Cricetulus griseus: one gene and its partners. The protein of the gene in region 3 binds, or shares a complex with, the protein of the main gene of each other region. Links are inferred from orthologs where the notes say so. Each region holds a gene or a part of one and is shown on either strand. Other genes may lie near its edges.

Evidence for each region.
Region 1: Znf541 (region 3) and Sap30 share a complex: the UniProt entries of both Homo sapiens proteins name them as parts of the histone deacetylase complex. The link is inferred for Cricetulus griseus from reciprocal best matches to the Homo sapiens genes ZNF541 and SAP30.
Region 2: Znf541 (region 3) and Cir1 share a complex: the UniProt entries of both Homo sapiens proteins name them as parts of the histone deacetylase complex. The link is inferred for Cricetulus griseus from reciprocal best matches to the Homo sapiens genes ZNF541 and CIRSR.

The regions. Positions count from the first base shown.
Region 1 is NW_023276806.1:235,754,514-235,757,352, reverse strand, and holds the end of Sap30 (histone deacetylase complex subunit SAP30), read left to right. Parts: coding exon 1-12; intron 13-1,898; coding exon 1,899-2,021; 3' UTR 2,022-2,231; downstream 2,232-2,839. UniProt on the Homo sapiens protein: Involved in the functional recruitment of the Sin3-histone deacetylase complex (HDAC) to a specific subset of N-CoR corepressor complexes. Capable of transcription repression by N-CoR.
Region 2 is NC_048599.1:101,841,317-101,844,970, reverse strand, and holds part of Cir1 (corepressor interacting with RBPJ 1), read right to left. Parts: intron 3,245-3,654; coding exon 3,196-3,244; intron 1,005-3,195; coding exon 887-1,004; intron 1-886. UniProt on the Homo sapiens protein: May modulate splice site selection during alternative splicing of pre-mRNAs. Regulates transcription and acts as corepressor for RBPJ. Recruits RBPJ to the Sin3-histone deacetylase complex (HDAC). Required for RBPJ-mediated repression of transcription.
Region 3 is NC_048602.1:10,752,921-10,756,574, reverse strand, and holds part of Znf541 (zinc finger protein 541), read right to left. Parts: intron 3,356-3,654; coding exon 3,292-3,355; intron 2,814-3,291; coding exon 2,671-2,813; intron 2,403-2,670; coding exon 2,299-2,402; intron 1,043-2,298; coding exon 967-1,042; intron 505-966; coding exon 416-504; intron 1-415. UniProt on the Homo sapiens protein: Transcription regulator which is essential for male fertility and for the completion of meiotic prophase in spermatocytes.

The DNA.
Region 1 (2,839 bases), on a different chromosome or scaffold from region 3:
CAACTTGTTGAGGTATGTATAATTTTTATACGGTATAAACAAACCTGTTCACACCAACAAGGGTTGTGATTAAATGATGATGAAATAGGTAAATGTCTAATGTCTAAGAAAGTCAGAGTTAATGGGTCTATCATGGTGTGCATATAGTGGTTTAGAAACAACTGTCTGTCACCTAGAAAATCCACTTACAGCATTTTTTAATAGGGATTTCTCAGAGTAAGTATTTAGTGAGTTTTTAATCACTTCAGAAATCTGTTTTAGGTTTCTAATTATTCAATGTCTGTTTATTGAACACCTAATTGAGGCATAACAAATAAATAAGCTTACAAGCATTTATCAGAATTTAGTTTTCAAAGCTTCTCTGGGATAGGCCTACAGATGAACCCTGAAGCAGTACTTCCTAACTTTCTAGTTTTACTTTCAGGTTGTCTTTGTTAGTAGTTGTTGTTTTTAAGTAGAAGATGCTTTCTTTACATCGAGAGAGAGCAAAGATTTTATCCAAGCTTTTACTTAAAGTTTATTTTGTATAGGACTTTGGTTCCTTCAGAGTGCTTTGGAAATTAGCTGTGTGTGTGTGTGTGTGTGTGTGTGTGTGTGTGTGTGTGTGTTTTCAAGAAGTAATAGAGCCACAAAATCTGTGCACTTTAAAGTATTTACAGATTTAAATAATTAGACTTTATATGTAAAATAAACTTTTCCACTAAATAGACAGGACAGAAATCTCTCTCTCTCTCTCTGTGTGTGTGTGTGTGTGTGTGTGTGTGTGTGTGTGTGTGTTTACATGAGTTTTCTCATATTCTTGGGTTTGACTTGAGTAGTTAGCCTACATTTCTAATGTGCATATTAAATAAAAGATAAATACAAGTTGCAATTCTTTGTAGAAAGTTCTTTTACATTATTAAAATTCAATATGCTAACTAGCCAAATTTTCTCCTCTATTTTTTGCCTAGACAAAAATATAATTTTTCTTCAAATTTTATTTAAAGATCTAGTCCTTTTACCATGGCACAGTACATAAACATAAAGATGTTCCCTACTATGATGAAATATACTAGACATTAATGAAGTATGGTCGCCCCTGTTTTGTAACAGAGAGGAGCCAAGAACTGATGCAAACGTTGTATGATATAACATCATATAGTTTATAACTCAAATCTCAACTTTAAAGTCTGGTCTTCTAAAAACAGTTGAATTAGTACAGAGTTATTTTCTGTTCTAGAAAAACAGGCCATCTTCTGGAATCGGAGTGCACACATTAGCAGCTCAGTTTCTTATTCGTGTTGGTAGCTCAGTGTGCATGTTTGGTTTGTGCTGTGAAAAGACAGGGAAGCAGTCTTCTTGAGCGTCTTTCTAGCTCCTTTAATTTTCTTAAATCTTACTCAGAAAATTTTGCTGAAACTTAGGGAGAATGAATATCAATTGCACCAAAATTGTATATGATATCATAGTTTGTTACCAAGGGTTTTTGTTGTTTTGTTTACATTAATCTTTTCCTGTGAATGCAGTCGACATGCACGTTGGCTCTTTTGTTTTATGTCATTGATATTTAATGTTTAAGAATATGTACTTTATAAGTTGTTAAGTTTAAAGGGAAAAATACTTATAACCAGTGGACCAAAGCAAGTAAAATACTTAGAATTAGAGCATATGAATTGAGTAGACTAAAGGGTCCTTTGAAATCAGACTGTCCTTTGTTGATAATATTTTGTTTTTTTTAAATGTGCTTTGGGGCCTGTTCATATTTTGTTAAAACAGCTTAATTTTTAAAAGACAATCTCTTGTGGCCATATAACACATGGCCTAAACTGTGCCTTTTTTTTTTTTTTTTTAAACTGTGCCTTTTACCTGGCTCACAGAATCTGCTGCATCTAACATTTAATTTGTTTTTTTCTTTGTAGATAGTTGGTTGCCACTTTAGGTCTATTCCAGTGAATGAAAAAGACACCCTAACATATTTTATCTACTCAGTGAAGAATGACAAGAACAAATCAGATCTCAAGGTCGACAGTGGTGTTCACTAGGAGAGATGGCATTCACACTAGCACATAGATGTCTGGCTGTAAAGAATGTTTACTGTTTTTCATATGTAGAAATGTTCTTGGGTATTTTTTCTACAGAGGATTTTCTTTGGCTTTTTTTGTTTGGTTTTGATTCTAATAATTAGTTGGAAACTCATATGAAATGAGCTTCCTAAATTAAAACTATTTTAAATAAAGGTTATTACTATTATAGCTGCTTCAGTGTATTTATTTTGTGAAACTTAGTTTTTGTTTTAAGCTTTCAGGAATTGGTATTAAGGTTTCAGGTAAAGATCCTTATTTTGTAAATTTTTCTTGAAAATTCCAAGTAATTAAAGGTAAAGGAGAAACAACAGATAAATGTAATTTCCCTAGATCAATTTGATTTGTAAGTAAGTGTGTGGTGGTGGTGGTGGGGTGGGGGGGGGCGTCTGTTGGTTTTGAGACAGGTATCTCTGGCTGTCCTGGAACTCAGAGATCCACCTGCCTCTGCCTCCCAAGTGTTCAGACTAAAGGCAAGCTCTACTTCAGGCTAACAGTGTTTTTTTTTAAAATACTTCACAGTGTATGTTAGCAGGTTTAAAAATTAGACTTCCACTGATTCTTAACTACTTTTAAATTTCCCTTTTGCATTGTTATTATTATTCTTTGAAGGCATATGAAGAAAAACAGGTAGTTTCTGTGCCTCTCTCTTTCCAAAGACACCCTACATTCCAGCAAAGGTAAGCACAGCGCTTGCTCAGAGTTGAAATAAGAATTCATGGAAAATAACTCACATTCTTTAATGTTTGCTTTGCAAATTCAAACCATGTTAATTAAAC
Region 2 (3,654 bases), on a different chromosome or scaffold from region 3:
CCCCCCCCCCCAAAAAAAAACAAAACAAACCCACAAATTATTTCTTCTCCTAATTTCAGGCTACTAACATGTAAACAATATTTAATGTGTCTAACTTTACAATCAAAATTAGTGGGGCTGGAGAGATGGCTCACTAGTTAAGAGTATCTGTTGCCCTTCCAGAGAACCCATTTGTTTCCTAGCAACCATGTCACAAGTACCTGTGACTCCAGCTCCAGATGACCTGACACTCTCTTTTGGCCTCCTTGGCTTTCTGCATGTACATGTGCATGTAACACAAGTAATACAAATATTTTAAAAAGGACAGTAGTGGTGCATACCTTTAATCCAAGCACTCAGGAGGCAGAGGCACACTGATCGTTGTGAGTTCAAGATCAGCCTGGTCTACATAGCGTATTCCAGGTCAGCCAAAGCTGCACAGTCAGACCCTGTCTCCACACAGCTATAATCTTAGCACTCAAGAGGTAGAGAATGAGCATCAGGAGTTCAAGGCGATGGCTACATAGTGAGTTTGGGACCAGTTTGGCTTTTATGAGACCTTGTTTTAAACAAACAAACAAAAACAAAAACCACAATAAAGTTCATAGAAACTTGGCTAGAAAAGTTAAACTCTATTTTAGAGCATTCAGATAATGAAGAGTTTCCCATTTATCACCTTCTAGGGGGAGGCAGGGAAGAGAGTGGGGTGCTAGGGACTGAACCCAAGATCTCATATACACGTGACAAGCAAAGCACTCCACCAGAGTTACACCACTAGCTCTATCATCCTATTTTGGGAATGTGTCTTAATCCACAAAAACTAAACTCAAGTACAACAAAAGAGTTCAGTTTAAATAAAAATTTACTTTATCTTTCCTTGTTTGACAAAATTTTGTCTAATGCTTACCTGAGCCATCAGTAGGAACTGAACTTGCATTGATTCCAGAAAGACCAAACAAAGGACATTCTCGATCTGTGTTCACATGACCCCACTTGTGACATTTAATACACCTTACATTTCGAACCTGAAAAATAAACAGTAGTTTGGTTCTCAAATACCAACAGCCTAACATTCAACTTAGCATTTTTATTTAGGTACCCCTCTCACTCCTTTTCTTTTTCTTTCTTGAGAAAGGGCCTCACTATAGCCCTTGCTGGTCTGGAACTTGCTATGTAGATCGGGTTGGCCTTGAACTCACAGAGATCCGCCCACTTTTGCTCCTAGAGTGAATACACCACCATACCTGGCTGTTCCTTTTTAAAAAGATCTCTTGGGAAAGAGATTCTATAACTATGGTGGGTAAGTCGATACAGATACTAAACTCTTCTACTATAAATTTGCCTAAAATCCAAGGTGAATCCTATCTATGCCTCCTATAATAAAACAATACCACCCAAAAAGAAATGGTAAAATATCACAACAAATTATGTCATGGTTTAATTTTAGGTTCTCTAATTTTAATGCATTCACCTAATACCCCAACCCCCCCTACACACACACACCCTTTATACATAGATAGGCTCCCTGGTGCAGCTCAAGCTGAGCTTTCAACCTTCATGTTGGAAATCCAGGCCTGTTTCCATACCAGCTACATCTCTCCAAATTGAAGCCAGGCCCTTACAACACACTGTAAAAGTGTTTTTTGGTTTTTTTGTTTGTTTTTTACTGAGCTATTCTCTCTAGCTTTGAAGTCTCAGATTTCTTTCTTTCTTTCTTTTTTAAAGATTTTATTTATTTATTATGTATACAACATTCTGTTTGCATGTATATCTGCACACCAAAAGAGGGCACCAGATCTCATTACAGATGGTTGTGAGCCACTATGTGGTTGCTGGGAATTGAACTCAGGACCTCTGGAAGAGCAGTCAGTGCTCTTAACCTCTGAGCCATCTCTCCAGCCCCAAAGTCTCAAGATTTCTAAACGAGGGGTTAGCAAACTTATTCTATGAAATAAAAACGGTACTTTAACTTTCTTATTTTATGTTTGTGTATGTTACACCTACTCGACCCTACTGTTGTGACAGGCGACGTGTCAGAAGAGCTGCCATAGACAATGCACAGGTGACTAAGGCAATGTTTTTCACAAGGATCATTCCTGGAGTGACAATTGACTGATTCTAAATCAGTAACATTTTTAACATCTTTTCTTGACCTCGAGTTAGTGACCACATCATTATCCTTCACTAGAAAACTTGATTCTCATCTTCCATCTGTCTACTACATTTCGTGTTTTCTCCTCATTCGAATCATTTCATATAAATATAAACCAAAGTTGTTTTAGCTTAAACACGGTGATGCTAATCTTGGCTTGGCAACCTGACTACATCTGGAATCAACTAAAACCCAAGCTGGCAGACAGTCCTGTGTGGTGGTTTTAAAGAAAATGGTCCCCACAGGCTCACAGGGCATGGTGCTATTAGGAGGTGTGGCCTTGCTGGAGTAGGTGTGGTGGTGTTGGAGGAAGTGTGTCACTGGGGCAGGCTCTGAGGCTTTAGATGTTCCTTCCATTTGGCCCAATGTGGCTCACTGTCTCTTCTTGATACCCGGGGATCCAGATGTAGAACTCTCAGCTTCTCCCCCTGCACCATGCCTGCCTGTGTGCCACCATACTTCCCGCCATGATGATAATGGATTAAACTTCTGGCCTCAAAGCCAGCCCCAATTAAATGTTCTTTGTAAGAGTTGTTATGGTTATGGCATCTCTTCACAGCAACAAAACCCTACTTAAGACACTCCTGTGAGAGATTTTCTTGATCAGAATTTGAAATCTGGCCACACTTTCTGGTGACAGCCCACATAAACAGAACTCGAAGAAGGAAGCTTCACTTTTTGCCTGTTTGCTCTCTCTCACTGGCAAGCTCAAGCTCCTCTATCTATTCTGTTGCTGCTAATATTAAATCCAACTTCTTCAAGATTTCAATGTAGGCCAAAGACTACCAGCTCTGCAGGAATCCTTCTGAGACAACCAGCCTTGTGGACTGAACAGATACTGGATTCTCAGCCTTTCCATCATGAGACAGCCACTGTTGGACTGCCCAAACCAAACCCAACCACGTCCTCTAGGCTAGATCATAAACCACCCTTTAATATCTATATTCATCCTATCAGTTCTGTTCCTCTAGAGAACTCTAATACAAATACCTTTTGGAAAATAATGTAAAGATATAAGTACTAAATAAAAATTATTCTTGGAGAGTAAAATAAGTGTCACTTGCCTGAATACCAAAGGGCTGGTCTCTGATGTTCATGTCATCTTTGGCATATCTGTTAAGTACAAAAAAATGTAAGACTATGGTATTAAAAGAACAATTCAATGCCAGTTAACCTGAAAAATGTTTATTGTTCTTAAACCATTATAAAAATTCATTACTACTATAAAAATATAAAACAACCATCAATTTTTAAGTGTTTATAACAGTGGTTCTCAACCTTCCTAATGCTTCAACCCTTTAATACAGTTCCTCATATTGTGGCGATTTCCCCAACCATAAAACTATCTTCATTGCTACTTTCCAACTGCAATTTTGCTACTGTTACGAATCCTAATGTAAATACATCTGTGTTTTCAATGGTCCTTTGAAGGTGGCAACTCACAGGTTGAGAACCACTGGTCTACATAGTCTGATTGTGTAGAGTTTTAAAAAGCAAACAAGTTCTCGAATCAAGGCCAGAAT
Region 3 (3,654 bases):
GGTGGCACACACCTTTAATCCCAGCCCCCAGGAGGCAGAAGCAGGAAGATCTTTGTGAGTTCAAGGCCAGCCTGGCCTACATAGCGAGTTCTAGGACAGCCAGAACTACATAGAGAGACCCCTGTCTCAAAAAAACAAAAACAAAACAAAACAAAAACCACCACCAACACCACCAACACCAAAAATAAAACTAGAAGAGAGCGTTAGGTTGTGTGTCCATGTGTGTTCAGCACATGGACACGTGAGTAAATGAAGACAGATAAAGGCAGCAAGTGCTGAGCTGGTGACAGGCAGGGCAGTGGCAGGACAGCCGTCTGAGGTAATAAGCTGCTTACAAGGTACTAAATGTGCTATAGGCAGGTGAGGGGCAGTTGTGTGACGCTTGGCTTGCTTCCCAAGCCCTTTGTCATCTTACCGTCTTGTGTATCAGGTAAAAGTCCTTCTTGTGGGCACAGAATGCCTTCTTGAAGAGCCTCTTCTCCATGGGAGTCCAGATGTCTGAACCTGCCAGGGAGCACAGCCAGGCAGGGGAGGTTTTTCTCAAGGGACCACTGCCTCACTGACATGTCGACCACACTTTTATGAGCATCGAGAATGCTCTATCTAGGACAGTCTTCCCAAAGCCTACAAAGCTGGGGCCTCACTACCCTTATGTTATAGATGTGGGCAACTGGCTGGGGCCTCGGTGGCCAAGGGTGGTGGGCCTAAGCTGCCTGGCTTTGCTGTACTCATCTGTTTAACCTGAGTGCATAGCCCCTGCCCCAGTCAGGAATGCTAACCTTGCTGGGAATGATGGAACAGGGCTGGTGGGGTCTAGTGAACTCAAGGCAGTGCCTGCAGAGTCCCTCTGGGAAGAACAGGCCCCTTCAGGAAGTCAGGCAAAGGCCAAGGGGCAGAGGTAAGTTTCCATTCGGCCTGGCAGCAATCAGCCAGGCCTCAGTATCAAACAGCCCTTTCCCTAGTTACCTGTGTAGCGATAGTCAGCTAGCGGGTGAGTCCGGGGCTTTTGGGGTCCTCTGAGTAATAGAGTCTCCAGGGCAACCTGGAAGGACAGTGAATGTAGGCCACTCACAAGGCATGGGAAGTGGGGGCTGCCTCCATTCTCCTTCCATTGAAAACAAATCTCTCTAAAGTCATCTGGTTTAGGGCCACATAGAAGGGCTTGGTCCTCGGGCTCATGATAACTTCACTGATTACCCTTTGAACATCATTTTTGTCTTCAAAGTATGGCTTGTCCACGAAGGGTGCAGTATGTGGGTTTGCGAAGCACATACTGCTCCCCACCAGAGCCTGCTGCACAGAAGAGTGCTATCCACCCAGCACTACACTGTGTTCTCTCTCTGGGTACTCCTTGCTGGGGATGGAGCCTGGGCCTCACATATGACTCACATATGACTTTCTGAGACAGAATCTATACCGTAGCCCAGGCTGCTCTCAAGCTTCTTATCCCCCTGCCTTAGCCTTCCAAGTGCTGGAAGTCCAGGTGTGAGTGACCACACCCCTCAGCCAATATGCTTAGAACATTTTGTCTCTCCTATAAGCTCTGTGGGGGTATGGGCTACTCTAATCCTAGTAAGGACCAGGCATGGACTTTCTAGGGTTTGGTACAAAATGAAAATGAAGATTTCCTCTGACTGACACACACTTTTAATCCCAGCACTCAGGAAGCAGAGGCAGGAAGACCTCTGAGTTCTGGGCCTACAGAGTGAGTTCGAAGACAGCTAAGGAAATCCTGTTTCAAAAAAAAAATCATAAAACAAAACAGGATTTCCACTCAGAAACTCTGAAGAATCCCCAGATGAGGACAATGAAGGGTTAAGTCAAAGACAGAGCACACAAACATGATTGATACCCAGTGGATGTTTGGCACACATGTGCCAGGTACTGCCCCTCAGCTTGACAGAAAGCATGGCCCAGGGCTGAGTCTCAGGTCCTGAACACTGCTCCTCCTATACTGCCCCAGGATACCTTCTCTTGAAGCTGTGGCTCTCAACCTTCCTAATGTTTTAACCCTTTAAAACAGTTCCTCTTGTGGTGAGCCCCATAACCATAAAATTATTTTTGTTGCTACTGTTGTGAATTATAATGTAAATATCTGTGATTTCCAAAGGTCTTTGGTGACTTCTGTGAAAGGATTGTTTGAAGACAGACAAGTTCTGTAACTGAGCAACTTCCACCCACCCCCATTCTGCTATGCCGGCCTCGAAGGACTGCAGACGTGGACCTTGCCCTTCCTTCATCAAACAATCCAAGGCCCAGAATATCCAGCCCCAGAAGTGCACAGTACCTAGGTCTCACCTGAACACTGCCCTGGGCTTCATGCAGGCAGTGGAGGGCAAGCTCTAGGTTGGTGCCCCCTCCTGGCATCACACTGGAGCATGCCACATTGCAGAGTTCCATCACTATGAACCCAAGAGCATTAGGAAGAAGAAATGGAGTCAGGACATGCCAGGGAGGTACCGCCCCCATAGCACAGGGGCTCCTGGTCAACTCCCCTTTCTGTACATCCCCATAGAGGACAGGGAACAAGGAGGGACCATAGGAACTCGGGCTTGGCACCTGCGCTGGAAGTGAGAGGTGGGGCAGGGCAATGCAAGGTGGGAGAGAGACGCTGGGTGGAGTTGGATGGGGAGGGAGGGGCCTTGGGACCTGACCCAAAGCCTCAGCCACCTCTGTCCTGGGTCTCTGGATTGCTCATCACATCTCCCCATGGCTTCCAGACCAGAGAAGCTACATTCTCATCCACTCTGGCCAGGGGCCTCTCCTGCAGTTCTGGGATCTCCGCCTGAAATCTGCTTCCTACGTTGATATGTCTGAAACAAGGCCACATACACATATGGGGATTCAAAGGTGACGAAGCCAGGAAACAGCAGAGATGTGCTATGTACCCTGTTCACAGCCACAGCCAGCTCCATGGCAGCTTACTGCCATCTCTCAGACACAGTGGCTTCTCATTACCTTATCAGCCAACAGACACAGGCATTTCAGAACACTCTTCCTAGCTTCTTCATTTCTGATTTCTGGCCTAGGTTCCAGGAAAGGAGCTACATGCTGACACTGACCATAAATGCTCTGTCTTCCTGAACTATGCTGTCACCACTTCTGTCCAGAAGCTCAGGTCCATGGAGGAAATTCTGCCCCTCCCCAAGCCCATCTGTGTGAGTTTAGACAGAAGTAACACAGTGGGACCTGCCCTCCCTGGGAAGACAAGCCTGGAAAAGGAGGCTTTGGAGCCCAGGCTGGTGAGAGCACCCTCTCTAGAAGGGCTTGGACATAAGTGTCCCAACTCACGGTTCGATGCTGATTTTTGTGTCATCCTTCACCACACAGATGCCAAAGGAGCTGTCCACTTGGTCTAGAAAACACACAGGGAAGAGCCTCAACAAGACTGACCTGATAGGGCCCCCGGGGAGCTTCTACCTGCCTTTGGGACACAGGTGAAAACAAAGCTGTGAGGCCCAGGTTGGAGGTGGTAGATTTTTGAAAAAGTAGAAGAAGAAACTCAGTGATTTAAAACAAACAAACAAACAAAAGGCTATTTGCCTGGCATGGTGGTGCACTGGGGGCAGAGACAGGCTGATGTCTTTGAGTTCAAGGCCAGTCTGGTCTACACAGTGAGTTACAGGGCAGCCAGGATTACATAGACACTATCTC